3 linked regions of the Arabidopsis thaliana genome follow. The protein of the gene in region 3 binds, or shares a complex with, the protein of the main gene of each other region. Each region holds a gene or a part of one and is shown on either strand. Other genes may lie near its edges. A codon is read from its position in the direction of its gene.

Region 1 (5,902 bases), about 13 Mb from region 3:
TCATGCACATTCTTCTCTTATCACATATGTTGTAGTAGCAAAATCTGTTTTTAGGAAACCATCCCACGATTGTGTATTCTTGCAAGAACCAAATTGTATTACATAACAACATCTCTGTATATTCATTTTTTTGTTTGAGACCTGTGAAAAGTGTTTCATAAAGCACAAAATGTAAACAAGTTTGAATCGAGTTTATATTATTATTACAAATCCATAACTCAGGTATATAATTATATACAGTATTTGGAGAATCATATGCAAACAGCTGCTACTCTTGCTCTCCTTAGATCACTATAACTAGCGTCTAATAACTAGTAGTGCAATTTATTTTCTCTAAAGAGAACATGAATGTTGTTGCCTTAACAGTAATGTTAACGGTAATATAAAGTCTAATTAGTCTAAGTGAGAATCAACATAAATAGTCTTACCTTAAGTAAATGTTGTCAAATTTCAGAAACTGGAAACTAGCCGTTTGATTATTGGAAAAGAAAGGAAACGAAAAGGAATACAAATAGCTAAATCTTTGTGTAAGATTTCACAATCTCTTCTTTTGTGTTGTTTGTTTATATTTGTTTCTGAGAAAATCTAAGATGAATCCAAAAAGATGTGCAGCTTGCAAGTATCTGAGAAGAAGATGTCCAAAAGATTGCGTATTCTCACCATATTTCCCTCCAAACGATCCTCAAAAATTTGCATGTGTCCACAGAATCTATGGTGCTGGAAACGTTTCCAAAATGCTTCAGGTATACACATCTTTGTGTATCTTCTTCTAATATCCTATTTAAGATCACACTTTATGCATATATATAAGTAAGTGTATTCATGGTTGGATTTTGGTGATCTTTTTGACAGCAACTTCCTGATCAGACAAGAGCTGAAGCAGTGGAATCTTTGTGCTTTGAAGCAAAATGCAGAGTAGATGACCCTGTTTATGGTTGTGTTGGCATTATTCATTTACTTAAAACTCAGATTCAGAAAACTCAGAATGAATTAGCCAAAACTCAAGCTGAGATTGCTGTTGCTCAAACCAAACTTAGCCAAACCCAAAATTCTGATTTTATGTAATATCTCTCAGTTTCATCAATAAAATCTCCTCTGCATTTTTGTTTCCCTGTAACTTATAAGATTCAACTAACTTTGATATATCAAACTCATAATCATAATCAAGAGGCCATTAGCTATACTGAAAAGTGTATCACAAAACACAAAATGTAAACAAGTTTGAATAGTTTATGATTATTTATTACAAATCCATACTACAATTATACAGTCTTCACCGATATTTTGAGAACCATAATGTAAAAAAGAGAAAGAGAAAAAAATGGAAAAACATGAAACAAAGTTTGATGAAATCACTTCCAGTTGTTGGCAACAATGTCAGCCAAGTCAACAACTCTCTGTGAGTAACCCCATTCATTATCATACCAAGCAATCACCTTAACCATATCATCTCCCATAACCATAGTGAGTGATGAATCAATGGTCGTTGAAAAATCTGAGCATCTGAAATCAACGGACACTAGTGGCTCATCGCAGACATCGAGTATACCTTTAAGCTCTTTCTCTGCAGAATCTCTGAAAGCAGCGTTGACTTCCTCAGCAAATGTCTTCTTTGAGACCTGCACAACGAGATCAACCACTGATACGTTTGGTGTTGGTACACGGAGAGCGATCCCGTTGAGTTTTCCTTTGAGGTTAGGGAGCACAAGAGCCACAGCTTTAGCTGCTCCTGTAGAAGTAGGAACAATGTTCAAAGCAGCTGCTCTTGCTCTCCTTAGATCACGGTGACTCGCGTCTAGCAACCTCTGGTCACCGGTGTAAGAGTGAGTAGTCGTCATTGTACCCTTTATGATACCTGCAATGTTACAAACACATTAAAACCCGTTTCATTGATCCCGTGAGAGAACACGAAAAGCGAAAGCGGAAAACGGATTGCATACCGAATTTCTGGTCAAGAACTTTGACAAAGGGAGCAAGACAGTTGGTAGTGCAAGATGCATTGCTGATGATAGGTTCATCATGACTGTAAGCATCTGCATTGACACCAACGACATAAGTTGGAATATCTCCTTTGCCTGGAGCAGTAATGATAACCTTCTTGGCACCAGCTTCAATGTGTTTCCCTGCACCTTCTCTATCCACAAACACTCCGGTTCCTTCGATGACAATGTCAATTCCTAGCTCCCTAAGATACCAACCATATCCAATTCAAATGCTTATTCTAGACTTGAGATAAAAAGACTGATCACATAAGTGGTTTTTCGACTTACTTCCAAGGGAGAAGAGACGGGTTTCGGTTAGAGACAACTTGGATGATCTTTCCATCAACAGAGATTGCAGTCTCTCCAGAAGGTTTGACATCAGCATCAAAGATTCCGAGAGTAGAGTCGTATTTAAGTAAATGCGAAGCCTGCTTGACGCCACCAGTGTCATTAATGGCAATGATATCAAGAGGAGAGTCCTTGCGACCATGCCAACATCTCAGGAAGTTCCTCCCGATCCTACCGAATCCATTAATGGCCACCTTAAGCTTGGCCTCAGTCACACCTTTCCTGTATCCACCACTGCTTCCCATCTGATACACAAACAGAACAACCATCCAAATAGTTTACAAAACCGGCGAGAAACAGAAGCAAACATAATTCATCCGATTTATCGATAGACATGCATATAGGTACAAACATTTCATATAGTTGATGATCATCATAAGGAAGAACACGTAAGCTACAAATAATGTTGGAGGAGAACAGAGAACTCACTGCAGAAGTCTGGAAGGAGACGATGGAAACGAACTCATCGGAAGAAAGTTTCTTGCCGAAGGGAAGAGAAGCAGAGGAGCTTCGCAATCCTGAGAATTCAGTGAAACCCTGAAAACAAAACACAACATTTAGTTAACTTGTGTAAGAGAGACCTGAAGAAGAGAAGAAGAAGAAGGAGGAAGGTACCTTGGGGACAGAGAAAGTAACCGAAGCCATGGTGACCAGAAAGAATCCAAGTTAAGGTTTGTAGCAGACAGGAGAGCAAAAAGGATTGGTGAAGCAGAGACTAGTAATATAGGATAAAGAATTGATGACTTGGAGGCAAATAAGATTAGATTCTGGATAGCTTTCTTACTTGTTTCTATGGTTGTGGTTTTACCACTCTCTTGTCTCTTCATGTTTCTATGATCACATATTCACAAAGTCCCTCCTTCACCTATTTTTTAGATTTTTGGGCCTTTCATTTGGGCTTCTTCATTTGTGTGTGTGGTCACGGTTATAAAAGGAGGATAAGGCTGCTCTCCATTTGTCTGACTTTCAAAGCTAAGACTTTTTAGAGCAGAGGTTCTTAGGACTGGCTGAGAGAATATTGGCCAAAGGATTTAGTAAAGCTGATTTTGGTAAACCACAGACCTTGTATGCCTTTTAAGTTGGACAGAGAGTCTATATGCCTGTATTGAAGTAATGAAGAATACATCATCTGTACGATGTTACAAATGCCTAATTTCACAAATCTACATACCCATAAAGTGATATGGACAATGGAGACAAAACTTATAACAACTACCATAGAAAGCTACACATTCCATACGATGGTGAGGCAGACAAAATCCTGCAACTCCATCAGCTCGAGGGCAGAGAAACATAAATGCTGGTGTTAGTCATAATCTACTTCAAGTTCCCCGTTATGTCACATGCTCTCTGTTCAAAACTAACTTCCATACGTCTAATCAAATCCAATGCTAAAGCTAGTTATTCACAATTTTGAAGGTACATAGTTCCTACACAGACCATACTATGAAAGGAAACTCAATGAGGCTTAGAGTCAGAGATCAAAAGATCATTAATCAACAATAGCAACGAGTTTTTACATCCAAGTATCCAACAGAAATCTGTAAAACATAATCAGACCCGGAGAATCTGCAGCTTGTTAGAGAAGGCAATGGCAACCCAATCAGGCTGAGAAGATGACCACTGAAGCTGCTCAACCTCAGCGCCGGCTGTGTAAGCTAGAATCGGATCCAGACCACCTTCAACATGCTGTCCCATGGAAGATATATCCCAAATCAACGCCTGAGAATCATCTCCAGCGGAGCAGATATGGGAAGAGCTATGAGGAGCCCAAGCTATAGCATTGACACTAGCCTGATGTCGCTGAAGCTCCACGACAGGAAGAGCCGGAAACCGAATATCCAACACAACAATTTTAGCACTGCCCATGATAACAGTAGCCATATACCTCGGATCCTGCTTGTTCCAACTAAGTCGCACCAAAGGAGTACTAGGCTCACCACTCTCGTAGATAATCGTCGAATGCTCCTTATCACGGAGATCAAACACTCTAACGGAACCATCCTCTGAGACAGAGGCAAAGACACCAACACCACCCCAAGCAATGTCATAAACCTCTTTATCATGAGCAATAAGCTGGGTATCAACAACTTCACGCTCTATATCCCAAATAGTACAAGTGGTATCAATACTAGAAGTACCAATTCGTCTAGGCTCAGCTTCATTCCAATCAAATGAAGTGATTGGACCACTAAACTCACTATTCTTATCACTACTAAGACAAGACTTAAGCTCAACACGAGATTCATCATCAGAGATTCGCCATAAACGAAGGAAATCACTAGAAGTAGCTAAAAGATCGGGTCTTTGACATTCTTTATCGGGTATGAAACTGGTTTTCGTTGGTGGGTAAGGATGTTCGAAGCAGAGATTTGGATCTGAACGAATCTCACCATTTGATTCATCAAGCTGAACAATTTCGACGCGATTCGGATATTGCTCGATGAGGCTTGTGATTGCGAGCCGATACTTCTTGTCTCGACGAATGCTCCAGTTCATTGCGTAGATCTGCCATGGTGCTTCGTATGTGTAAATCTCTGATCTTTTTGATTGCTCTTCAGAACCATTTTGGATTTGATCGCTGCTCGTAACCATCTTTGCTTCAATGTAGCATAAACCCTAGATTCCTCTGCTTCGTCTTCTTCTTCTAATGGATATTTACTATTTCTTCTTTTTAGCTAACAAAAACGACGACGTTTAATACACGTAGAATCGATCCGGTTTGGTTCGAAATTTCTGTATTTCGTTTGGTTTAGTGGTTCCTAGTCGAATCAATCTGGTTATGCTTCCTCTTGCTACACAATAAACCGAATCCGAACCAAATCAGCCAAACTTCGGTTTAGTTCGGTTTATATGCAGCTTCATCATCATCCACACACGATCAATCGAGGAAAGAGTGAATGTGAGAATTTGGTGATTTATCGTTAATCCATGGCGGCTCCGTCGCCGTCTTCACCACCAAACCTCCTCTCTCCTCCACCATTCCGATCTCCCGAAGCTTCTTACTTTCTCCGAACTTGTTCAAATTTCTCTCAATTGAAACAAATTCACACCAAAATCATCAAACACAATCTCACCAACGATCAGTTACTAGTTCGTCAGCTCATAAGTGTTTCTTCTTCCTTCGGAGAAACCCAATACGCTTCTCTCGTCTTTAATCAACTTCAATCTCCTTCTACTTTTACCTGGAACCTTATGATAAGATCTCTCTCTGTTAATCACAAACCTCGTGAAGCTCTTCTTCTCTTTATCCTTATGATGATCTCTCATCAATCCCAGTTTGATAAATTCACTTTCCCTTTTGTTATCAAAGCTTGTCTCGCTTCTTCGTCGATTCGTTTAGGTACCCAAGTTCATGGTTTAGCTATTAAAGCTGGGTTTTTTAATGATGTCTTCTTCCAAAACACTCTCATGGATCTTTACTTTAAGTGTGGGAAACCAGATAGTGGACGTAAGGTGTTTGATAAAATGCCTGGGAGAAGTATTGTTTCATGGACTACTATGCTTTATGGTCTTGTCTCCAATTCTCAGTTAGATTCTGCAGAGATTGTATTCAATCAAATGCCAATGAG
Region 2 (5,906 bases), on a different chromosome or scaffold from region 3:
GTTTAGTTGAAGAGATCATATTTTCTTCTGGTGGTGAGATTGATGTTTATGATCTTCAAGGTCTTTGTGATAAGGTAGTTTAAAACACTACTCCTGTGCTCTGTTTATGCTTGATGATACTTCAAAAACTCTCATTTATGGTTATCTTATGGGAAAATATAGGTGGGATGGCCAAGGAGACCGTTAGTGAAACTAGCTGCTGCTTTGAAGAATAGTTATATGGTTGCTACTTTGCATTCTGTAATGAAGTCATCATCAGATTCAGATTCATCAGGTGCTTATAACTAAGTATAACACTTTTCTTGACTCACTATAAGCAATGTGTATATATATACAAAGAGGATGTTTTGATGAACATCTTAGCGGATTTTGGAGAAGTTATTTGACACAGAAGGCGGGGATGGGGAGAAGCAGCAGGAGAAGAAGCTTATTGGTATGGCACGTGCGACGTCGGATCATGCCTTTAATGCTACAATTTGGGATGTTCTTGTTGATCCTGAATATCAGGTTAATCAAAACAAATGATATGGTTTTTGCATTTAGTTTTTGCTTGCCAATATAAATGCTTTGTGTTTGATGTTAATTGGTGTTTGTGTTTGTTTTCACGTTTCAGGGTCAAGGGCTAGGTAAAGCTCTTGTTGAAAAACTTGTAAGGGCTCTTCTTCAAAGAGATATTGGTAACATATCTCTGTTTGCAGATAGTCAAGGTAAAACATCGAATCACTGTTTAATCTGCAATTTTTGTGGTCAAAATATTTGGATTTGTTCTTACTTAGTTGTTGAATCTGTGTTCCTTTTTTGTAGTTGTGGATTTCTATCAGAACTTGGGGTTTGAGGCTGATCCAGAAGGCATCAAAGGCATGTTTTGGTACCCAAAGTAGTACTTGGTGATTGCAAGAAAATGGGATTGTTACTTGTATGTATAATTTCTTTGCTTTCTTATATGGAATCTATAAGGAAGTTTGAACTGTGTAATTTGTAATCCAAAAGCTATTTGACATTCAAGTATTCAACATGAGTATGATCAATAGGATAAAACTGTTCTTTCTTTTGCTTAGTTGATTTGTGGTTTGAATCTACTTTGATGCTGTAAAGAACAAATTTTGAAGGCGTTCTATAAACTGAACTGTTATTGCTCTGCTATTCACTTCTCTACATTACAGGCTTTTTCTTTTTATCTCCACACAAATTACAAACAAGCAAGACCGTCCTTTTCGCCATGAAAATCCGCGGTAAACAACGCATAAAGAAAGAAAGAAATAAGAAAAAGAAGAAACTGCGGATGTATTTATCGACGCGTTCTATTTGGCTTCGCTTCGTTTGTTTTAGGCTTTAGCTTCTGCACGAGCAGTGGCTTTGTTGGCAATGAGCTGCTCATAGAGATCTCTGATCTTCAATCCAACAATGGTTTGGAAAAGACCAGTACCGTTGTTGCTACCCGGGAAATCAGCATGTTTGAGCATTTGTTGAGTGACTTCTCCGTAGAATTTGGTCGAGAGGTTGCTCAAGTGACTTTCCACGTAAATCAGCTCGTCCAGTCTATCAAATTGTCCATCCATCTCCAAAACTGATACCTGAGAGAAACAAAAAGGGAGATATATGCAATGAGTCTAAATTCTCATACACATGCATTTTCATTCATTTCTCACAATATGTCATTATGCAATATGAATGTACCTCATGGTCGAAGTAGGAGTCAGGTTCGTAGTTGAACTTGATGCCAGGGTACGAGCAAGTGAGTTTGCGGCCGCAAGGAATCCACGAGATGGTTGAACCTTCATCGAACAGGTAAACCGGGCTGAAGTACTTAACACCTTCCTTCATTATCAATCTCACTCTCAACACTTTCCCTTCGTTGTCATCTGGGATCAGAGTCGTAGGAAGCACTTCTATGACCGCATCCGCGTACTGCTTTTGCGGGTCTGTATAAGCCATTGAAAATATTATAAACTGATCAAGCCGAATATGACACGGGGTTACATCAAGAAATTAGGAGTGTTACCGATGAATGCATCGAAGTCGGGCTTTCGGGCTTCGATACTCGCTTTGATGCTCTCCAAACTGTGACCTCTTTCAGCCATGTCCCTCTGTGACCATCAAAAACGTTACAGATTCAGTTTTATAAGATAAACCGAAAACGTTCCACAAAATGGTGTAAATGTAGTTGAATTATTCAAAGAAATTCACCTGAATTTTCCAAGCGAATTTGACTTCGTTGCTAATGTCCAAGTAGATACTGAAGTCTAGTAAGTCTCTTACTCGCTCATCAAACCTTCACAAGTAGATAAATATTATTATAAAACATTACAAGTACCAAAACTATAGACTTAATTATTCGAATAAAAATTAATCGGTGTCACACACTACATGCATAGATTCAAAGATCCATCTTTAATTATTCTGATACTGATTCTAGTATAAATCTAAGTCCAGATTCTTAATCATCGAAATTCCGACAAGATAAGAGACTTCCAAACTCTAAAATTTGAGTATGTCTAAGATACAAAACAGAGTATCATAACAGAGTATGTGTAGCTTACATTGGGTGAAGACCTTCGATGACAAGAATCTTAGGAGGCTGAATAAGCTCCGGAGGGTCAAGAAGTCCAGTGACATGGTTATAAATCGGTTTCTCGACGGCTATACCATTCTTAAGAGCTTTGACTTGCTCATACATGAGATCAAAGTCATTGGCGCGTGGGTCCAAAGCGGTGACTTTCTGCTCTTTCCTACCGTACCTATCCAAAGAATGGTAATCATCAAGACAGATCACAGTGGTCGTGTCGCTGATGAGTGTGTTGGAATCAGGGTTCCCGCCTTTTGGTGGCTTAGCAGCGCCACCAAAGACGCTGGTGAGCCTCCGCATAAAGGTACTTTTGCCGCAGCCAGAGTCAGCAGCTAGTCCGATCACGATGGTTTCTTGTGCGCAAGTGATGAGTGTGTTGAATCTACGGTTGGTTTGTGGTTGACGACGGTAGAGGAAGACTTGTTTGGAGGAGGAAGAAGAGGTTAAGAAATGAGTTGAATTGAGAGCTTGTGTTGAGTAGATAGTTGAGACAGCCATTGTTGTTTGTTTGGTGTTTTGGTCTCCTCTTCTTCTCCGCCTAAGCTCTTTTTTTTTTGTTTAGCTTTGTGAGCTCAGGTTGAGTGATGAGGATTTAGGATAGAATGAAAGAAATGTGGGTAACGATTTTTGATTTTATGGTTTTTTGTGTGGTGATATAGAGATGTGATTTTTTTTTTTTTTGAAAATAAGATTAAATGGGGAAAGAGAGAAATGAGAGGAGGACAATGGGTCTATAGGAAAAACAGATGGCAATTTGCAGAGAAGAAAAGGAGTTTTATTTTGTTTTGTTTTGGTTTAATGTGGTTGTGTGATGATTGGCTCATGTTTTGGTTTCTTGAAGTAAAATTGTTTGTAATGTTGATTAGTCTCTATGTTAAGATGTTGTTGATAAGATAAGAGGATAAGAAAACATTTATAGCCATTAAAAAACCAAAGATCATATCTTATTTACTTCATGAAGTAATAAACTTATGGTAATTTTGTTTGATTTTTTTGGCTAAAAGATAATTTGGAGAATAGAGTTTGGGAGAGGAGTGGAGTTGCCGATGAAGTGATAAAACTAACAGGGCATGGAGGGAGACGTTGCTTGGTGGTTATTTGCTTATTTTTTTGGGATTTGGATATTTGAATTGACACGTGGGAGATTCTAATTGGACAGATGGGGATTAGGTGTTTAAGGTCTGAAGATGAAGGAGAGAGTATTATGTGGGTCACATTTACACGTCACCGTATATCCCCCCTTGGCTTCGAATCTTTATGGTCTTTGAACAACTTACCTTTTTATGCTTTTATTTTTTTCTATAGGGATCAAAGCCTTCTTGCGTTACCTTAACAATGGGCTTCAAGCCTACCAATTAATAAAGACACCAAGAGTTTTTTTTTTTTTTTTTTTTTTGTGAACAGATACCAGAAGTTTATTACTCATGAATTTCACCGTAGGGTAATTAGTAAAAGAGATTACATCGGGATTAAAAAAACAAAACCATGGTTTATTTATCGACCGCGATAGAGTCGGCACTAGTTGCTTATTCTTGGACACATTGAACGTAGTCTCCACCAACCACCATACAACTTCCATGTCAAGCATGAAACTATAACGGGTCAGAGAATTTGTTAGGTTAAAAAGTAAAAACTATGGACTCACATTAAATCTTTCCAAAAAAATTACTTTAATCTCTTTTGAGTTTTGACTCATGGAGTTTGCAAATGAAAAAAAGTTCTTATTTTGCTCAACAGAAGAATTTAACGAAGTTTTATCTCTCTCGAGTCATGGTGTTTGCAAAAAAAAAAATTCATAAAGTTCACGGCCATATCGAAACATCTATACTTTGTTATACGCAATGATAATCAGAAGGACCAGATTCTAAGATTCAGACCGAAGAGAGTCGCTACTAATAATTCATAGCTATGATTTTTTTTTGTCTAAATAGTCCATCCACTTCGCCGAAAAAAAATCCCAAAAGCTAAGAGACGATATTGGTATATTACAGACCAGAGAAGAACAGAGTAAAAAACATAAAGAAATGGCCGAACAACCACTCTCTCTTGCTACTATAGTAACTAAAGAATTTACCTCAATCAACACAACGCATCAAACGGTAAAATGGTAATTACATTCATAGGAGATACACATATTTCAGACCTTATATCGTAAGGGAAAATTACCATCATCTTCCTCTTTATCTCCTTTTCACTTGTTTCCCCTAAAGTAGAGGTAAATTTTCTGCAAAGCCAAAATGGGAAACCAGATCAATCAAATGTTTACTGGTTTCATCAACGTCAACAGTTTTGAAGAAGCCATGAAAAGTATGATCAGAGGCTTACCTGAAGAACCCATAGACTCAGCAGTGACTCCAAGCAGAAGAGACCGAATCCGATAAAGTAGAAGATCTGCCATCATTCATTAGGGTTAGACACATTGAATATATTATAGGCGTCGTCATGAAATGTAAAATAGGTGTATAGCTCATACCCCAGCTAATAAACTGTCTGAGATGACATCAATTGCTGCAAGCACACCCCTGTTGATCGAAATAAGAGAAAGGGTTTTTAAGTTAATCTCAAGGCAACAAAACATACAGAGGTGAATCACAGCTAGATTCTCACTTCTACTTGTAGTCATAATCCTCATTATTTTGTAACAACTGAATATTAATAAACCTTTCAGAACAATTTAGAACTTTCCAATTGAAGCCCTCACCAGACTAACCAACTACATATGAAGTAAGAGTACACTCAAACGCAAGTAGAAACGTAGGCTATTATTGGAAGACTTACGTTAATGATTTTCCATGGAAAAAGATTGGAGGGGCGATGGCAGCAACGATGCAGAAGCCAATGTGAATCTGTAAGGAGCTCAGGTCAATCATGTGGAAAATGGAAGTATATCTACTTAAAGGTAAGATATAAATAGGTTTTATGAACTCACCAAGTAGGTGAAGAAAAACCAACCAAACTTCAAAGCACTGTCAGTCCTGCAAGGCCGTAAAATGTATTTCAATTATATCGCCTGTAATTGTACTTATACAAATGGAAGAGAACCAGTGAGCAGGAATATTACCTCATGGCTCGGTAGAGTGGCCTGTACCATAGTACATAAGAGAGTGGACATCCGATCAATGCATATATTGTGGCCAGGAAAAAGATTTTAACACCTATCATTGATATTTTAAAACCACCATTAGTTGAACCAAATCCAATCAAAATTCTCATAAAAAAAGTTACCTTCATAATATAAAACATTGTAATATAGTGTAGGCTCACCTCCGCCTTTAATCCAGCAGACCATCGTTGCAATGACATTGAATACCAGACACAGAACGATACCTGAAATTTTAAT
Region 3 (4,021 bases):
TTCAGATTGTGTTTTTGAGAGGTTTTTATAGGAAAATATCTCTAGAAGAAGAAGAATAATATTATATTGATTTTAATTTTGGTGAGAAGAAGTCAAAAAGTCAACGAGAAATGGGGTCGTTGCAAATGCAAACAAGTCCTGAATCCGATAATGATCCGAGGTACGCCACGGTGACGGATGAGAGGAAGAGGAAGAGAATGATCTCTAACAGAGAATCTGCTCGGAGGTCAAGGATGAGGAAACAGAAGCAACTTGGTGATTTGATCAACGAAGTCACTCTTCTCAAGAATGATAACGCTAAAATCACTGAGCAGGTTGATGAAGCTTCAAAGAAATACATTGAAATGGAGTCTAAGAACAATGTCTTGAGGGCACAGGCTTCGGAGTTGACGGATAGGTTGAGATCATTGAACTCTGTGCTTGAGATGGTTGAAGAAATTAGTGGTCAGGCTTTGGATATTCCTGAGATTCCTGAATCTATGCAGAACCCTTGGCAGATGCCTTGTCCAATGCAACCAATCAGAGCTTCTGCTGATATGTTTGATTGCTGAAGATGGATGATTCATATCTGAAGGATCAAAAATGAAGCATTGAGTTCGAGTCTTTGGTCTGTTTTACTTACTGTCCTTGTTGTAACAATTAGTGTGTCATTGGTGAATTGAGTCTTGTGTTGTCAATGGACAACGCAATCTTTATGCAATTTCAATTTGTTCGTGTCTTTGTATGGTTTTGTAGCCTCAGTCCTCTAGTCTTGTGTCTCATGTAATTGGTGTCTAATGTGTTTCTTATTGAATTCAAGCTTTCTTATTATTCGCTGCGCATTACCTGTTATGAAATTTTGGCTTTTGTATTCGTTTATGGAACTACAAATTACAAATGTTTTTAGAGCTAATTCAGATTCAAAGACATGATTTATATAACCTGACATTACCAAATGGACCGGAACAAAGATTTGTCGTATACGTATGAATCCGGAACAGGATCTTGATCGCTTCAGTTGTCGTAAGTACGGCACTCGTTGGTCTCAGGATTGTCTTTGCAGTATTCCTCCAAAGGGTCCGAACCATCAGCCTTCTTCTTGTCTCTAGCATGGCTAGCTGCTGCGCTAAGTTCTTCAACCTCGTCCCACGCAGCTACACACTCTCCACTCACAGGATCGCCCGCACAAGTCTCCTGAGCTTCCTTAATGCTTTTCTCCACTACGTCCGATATCCCTCCTTCCGGTGCTGCTTTAATCGGCTGAAGTTTCATCATCCGGTTAGTTGTTCTTGACCCAAGATTCCACGAATTGTTCAAATGGACCGGACCGGCGAGACAAACTGGCCGATTCTCGCTGGTGACGAAGACACGCTGGGTTGCAATGTTAAGACCAGTAGCTATAGTTGCCATCTTTGGATGGAGAAGGTACACGGCAGCCTGTGAATATAGTTTTTGATAAAAGAAGATAGTTCAGATAATTGGGAGGGAACAAGATATATGAAGTGTGCGTGAATTTAATTCTGTGAACCCCATTTCTTATCCTCTATTAACCAACAATTAAGTTCCACGTATTTGATATCGTTTATGAAGCAGTACGATGTTGAAAATTTGCAGCCATCCAAGCCGTTTTCTAAGATACAAGTGCCTGTTGCGTATTTTATCCAAAAAAGATGAGAAAAAATAAGCTGGTAAGTATAATAAAATGATCACACACTGTTTAAGGAAAAGTCAAGACAGATGTCTCAAGTTTCAACCACTGTATCTCCGGAAAACAATGTGTTAACAAATATCCAATTTTGATGTCTGAGTGGTTGTTTATTTCTCAAGCAACCAACTTTCTTAGGTAACTTATCTGAGATCTCAAGAAACCATAAAAACAGAAAAATCGAGCCAACAACATTGAGAGTGAGAGAGAGGCATTCCCATTCACTCTTCAGAGGCGACAACACCGATCTCACCTCTCTCAAGCAAATCATAGAAAGTTCTAGTTTTCCTCTGCTCATTCCAATGGTGCATCTTCCAGAGACCACCAGCAGCTAAACCAAGCGTCAAACCAATAATCAATTCCTTGACAACACTCGGGCCTTTCAATGTGGCATGCGCAACCTTGTGTCCTGCCATTTCTTCTCAACCTAGCACACATTTTAATCATAGAGTCAATACTAACATAATTGATACTTTCACAATGCTCACGATTCCTAAAGCTGAAAACTTTATTGACAACCAATAAAACATCTATACACACACACACACTAATCTACCTGATCTCTTAATTTCTACTGGTTTGCACTTGGAGTCTATATATACACATAAACATGTACAATTTCGATCCATTTTCTGTCTAACCTCTTAACTACGTCTCTATTCAAAGGAAGATATCAAAGGCTTTGAATTTATTCCCAAAATGATACAAGAACCCTAATCCACAGGATCCAGATACTGAAAATAAAATTGGCATTTCTCCCGAAGAAAAGGATTAACGTTTCAAAGCATCACAACACTAAGAGCATCAAATCTAAATCAACGGAAGATTTAAACGAGAAATTCCGATCTTAAGCACACCGATCTACACGGGAAAAAAAACGAGAAATGGATTCGAATCTGATAAAAATTAATCGTAACTTCACAATCCGCCACCTATCTATAACGAAAATCACCACAAAATCATAAAGGAAACAACAATTATCATCAAGGGAAGAATATGGACTTTACCGAGTCAGATTGTGTAGATGAACGAGACAGAAGCTCACGACGAAAACGAAATGGTGGGTGATTGAAGAAGTTGCGTAAGCAGATAATCACTTCTCTACTCCATTTGTGTCTTATTGGGCCTTAAACATGGGCCTGATCTCTTATTTCTTCAATGGGCATTTTATGGAATTTGCTTTTTAAAAAAGTAAACCATTCGCTGCTCGTGTTCCCCGAGTGTGTCCCACCACGTTAATAATGCCAAATCCAATCTGTCAACACACTAAACTAATTTCCTAATCCTGAACTTTTTTAAATAATCATTATCTTTCCCTCTGTTCCGTTAATTATTGTAAAATTCATGAGCTCACGAGTTTGTAAGAACGTCATTATCATTTCTTCACCGAATCTCTCCTCTATACCCCACTAATTCAACCACCTTTGTCGACTCCAAAATTTCAATCCTTTTCTCAAACAGTTCCATTTTTCGATTTCAAATTTCTCTGATTACAGATAATTATGAAACTGTTTTTTCTTAACTAACTTATAACAGTTACAGAGAAAAAATAAATAAAGAGATAGAAGATGGAGAGACAAAGAAGTTTCTCTGTGAAGTCCACAAGAGTCTTAGCATTCATCATCACAATAATCTCTTCCGCCATTGTTTTCTTCACTTTCTTCTCCTCTTCCTTACTCAAATCTAACTCTTCTCTTTACCCAACACCAGAAGCTAACTTCCAGATCGATTTAAGCCCTATTGCCGCCATTTCCGATTCTTCAGTTTCTCCTCAAGCAAGTCCGATTCTGATCTCTACCCATTTCAATTCACCCGAAAACACTTCCGGGTCTTCAAAAATTTCTGTTTTTGAGCAGAAGATTAGCGGCGAGAGTTTGGTTAAGGAAGTTAGGGAAATTGCTAATTTAACTTCGATTAAAGTGATTGAACTTCCGAGCAACAATGGTGAAGATAAGAAGACAGAGAAGAGAATCGAAGAATGTGATGTTACGAAAGGGAAGTGGGTTTACGATAGTGATTATCCATTGTACACAAATGCGTCTTGTCCTTTTATCGATGAAGGATTTGGTTGTCAAAGCAATGGAAGATTGGATCTTAATTACATGAATTGGAGATGGGAGCCTCAGGATTGTCATGCTCCCAGGTTTAATTTCTTCTTTCTAATTTTGTTGTTTTCCTCGTAGGCCTTTAAGAAGATCTCTCTATTGAAGTAGTAGTGGTTGGTGATAGTGACTGATGATGATAAGTGGGATTCATAGTTCCACTGAGCACTTAATCTCTCTGAATAAGTAGGAATGCAATTCATGGTCCTGAATTGGAAATTGTGGTATGTGTGAG

What was found.
Region 1: the proteins of CP12-2 (region 3) and GAPA are in contact, whole or in part, in a crystal structure (PDB 3QV1), measured with the Arabidopsis thaliana proteins. Residues at the interface, in NP_191800.1 of Arabidopsis thaliana: Leu113 (codon at 1,053), Glu114 (codon at 1,050), Cys117 (codon at 1,041), Pro121 (codon at 1,029), Glu122 (codon at 1,026), Asn124 (codon at 1,020), Glu125 (codon at 1,017), Cys126 (codon at 1,014), Arg127 (codon at 1,011), Thr128 (codon at 1,008), Tyr129 (codon at 1,005), Asp130 (codon at 1,002), Asn131 (codon at 999); in NP_566796.2 of Arabidopsis thaliana: Arg140 (codon at 2,296), Val161 (codon at 2,148), Pro184 (codon at 2,079), Ser212 (codon at 1,995), Cys213 (codon at 1,992), Thr214 (codon at 1,989), Thr238 (codon at 1,832), His240 (codon at 1,826), Thr243 (codon at 1,817), Gly244 (codon at 1,814), Asp245 (codon at 1,811), Arg247 (codon at 1,805), Ser252 (codon at 1,790), His253 (codon at 1,787), Arg254 (codon at 1,784), Arg258 (codon at 1,772), Ser270 (codon at 1,736), Thr271 (codon at 1,733), Gly272 (codon at 1,730), Ala273 (codon at 1,727), Ala292 (codon at 1,670), Arg294 (codon at 1,664).
Region 2: the proteins of CP12-2 (region 3) and PRK are in contact, whole or in part, in a crystal structure (PDB 6KEZ), measured with the Arabidopsis thaliana proteins. Residues at the interface, in NP_191800.1 of Arabidopsis thaliana: Asp62 (codon at 1,206), Val64 (codon at 1,200), Glu65 (codon at 1,197), Ile68 (codon at 1,188), Gly82 (codon at 1,146), Val85 (codon at 1,137), Ala86 (codon at 1,134), Trp88 (codon at 1,128), Asp89 (codon at 1,125), Glu90 (codon at 1,122), Val91 (codon at 1,119), Glu92 (codon at 1,116), Glu93 (codon at 1,113), Leu94 (codon at 1,110), Ser95 (codon at 1,107), Ala96 (codon at 1,104), Ala97 (codon at 1,101), Ala98 (codon at 1,098), Ser99 (codon at 1,095), His100 (codon at 1,092), Arg102 (codon at 1,086), Asp103 (codon at 1,083); in NP_174486.1 of Arabidopsis thaliana: Ser59 (codon at 2,890), Lys63 (codon at 2,878), Arg109 (codon at 2,740), Arg112 (codon at 2,731), Lys113 (codon at 2,728), Gln115 (codon at 2,722), Lys116 (codon at 2,719), Thr118 (codon at 2,713), Ala119 (codon at 2,710), Tyr148 (codon at 2,623), His150 (codon at 2,617), Val151 (codon at 2,614), Lys201 (codon at 2,196), Arg204 (codon at 2,087), Asp205 (codon at 2,084), Ala207 (codon at 2,078), Glu208 (codon at 2,075), Arg209 (codon at 2,072), Gly210 (codon at 2,069), His211 (codon at 2,066), Ser215 (codon at 2,054), Ala218 (codon at 2,045), Ser219 (codon at 2,042), Ala222 (codon at 2,033), Arg223 (codon at 2,030).

The regions. Positions count from the first base shown.
Region 1 is NC_003074.8:9,792,299-9,798,200, reverse strand, and holds GAPA (glyceraldehyde 3-phosphate dehydrogenase A subunit), read right to left. Parts: upstream 3,340-5,902; 5' UTR 2,976-3,339; coding exon 2,946-2,975; intron 2,868-2,945; coding exon 2,760-2,867; intron 2,576-2,759; coding exon 2,271-2,575; intron 2,186-2,270; coding exon 1,941-2,185; intron 1,856-1,940; coding exon 1,353-1,855; 3' UTR 1,156-1,352; downstream 1-1,155. Other genes in the region: LBD24 (LOB domain-containing protein 24), read left to right, coding at 591-743, 853-1,065; LWD2 (Transducin/WD40 repeat-like superfamily protein), read right to left, coding at 3,885-4,925; AT3G26630 (Tetratricopeptide repeat (TPR)-like superfamily protein), read left to right, coding at 5,262-5,902. UniProt on the Arabidopsis thaliana protein: Involved in the photosynthetic reductive pentose phosphate pathway (Calvin-Benson cycle). Catalyzes the reduction of 1,3-diphosphoglycerate by NADPH.
Region 2 is NC_003070.9:11,529,826-11,535,731, reverse strand, and holds PRK (phosphoribulokinase), read right to left. Parts: upstream 3,534-5,906; 5' UTR 3,065-3,533; coding exon 2,541-3,064; intron 2,273-2,540; coding exon 2,188-2,272; intron 2,088-2,187; coding exon 2,003-2,087; intron 1,923-2,002; coding exon 1,678-1,922; intron 1,575-1,677; coding exon 1,326-1,574; 3' UTR 1,093-1,325; downstream 1-1,092. Other genes in the region: NSI (nuclear shuttle interacting), read left to right, coding at 1-74, 163-274, 392-507, 614-707, 805-881; SCAMP5 (SCAMP family protein), read right to left, coding at 4,758-4,790, 4,892-4,957, 5,040-5,088, 5,345-5,412, 5,496-5,541, 5,628-5,721, 5,831-5,893.
Region 3 is NC_003074.8:23,088,374-23,092,394, reverse strand, and holds CP12-2 (CP12 domain-containing protein 2), read right to left. Parts: upstream 1,452-4,021; 5' UTR 1,390-1,451; coding exon 994-1,389; 3' UTR 815-993; downstream 1-814. Other genes in the region: BZIP53 (basic region/leucine zipper motif 53), read left to right, coding at 111-551; AT3G62400 (cytochrome C oxidase subunit), read right to left, coding at 1,722-1,982; TBL6 (TRICHOME BIREFRINGENCE-LIKE 6), read left to right, coding at 3,253-3,827. UniProt on the Arabidopsis thaliana protein: Acts as a linker essential in the assembly of a core complex of PRK/GAPDH. Coordinates the reversible inactivation of chloroplast enzymes GAPDH and PRK during darkness in photosynthetic tissues.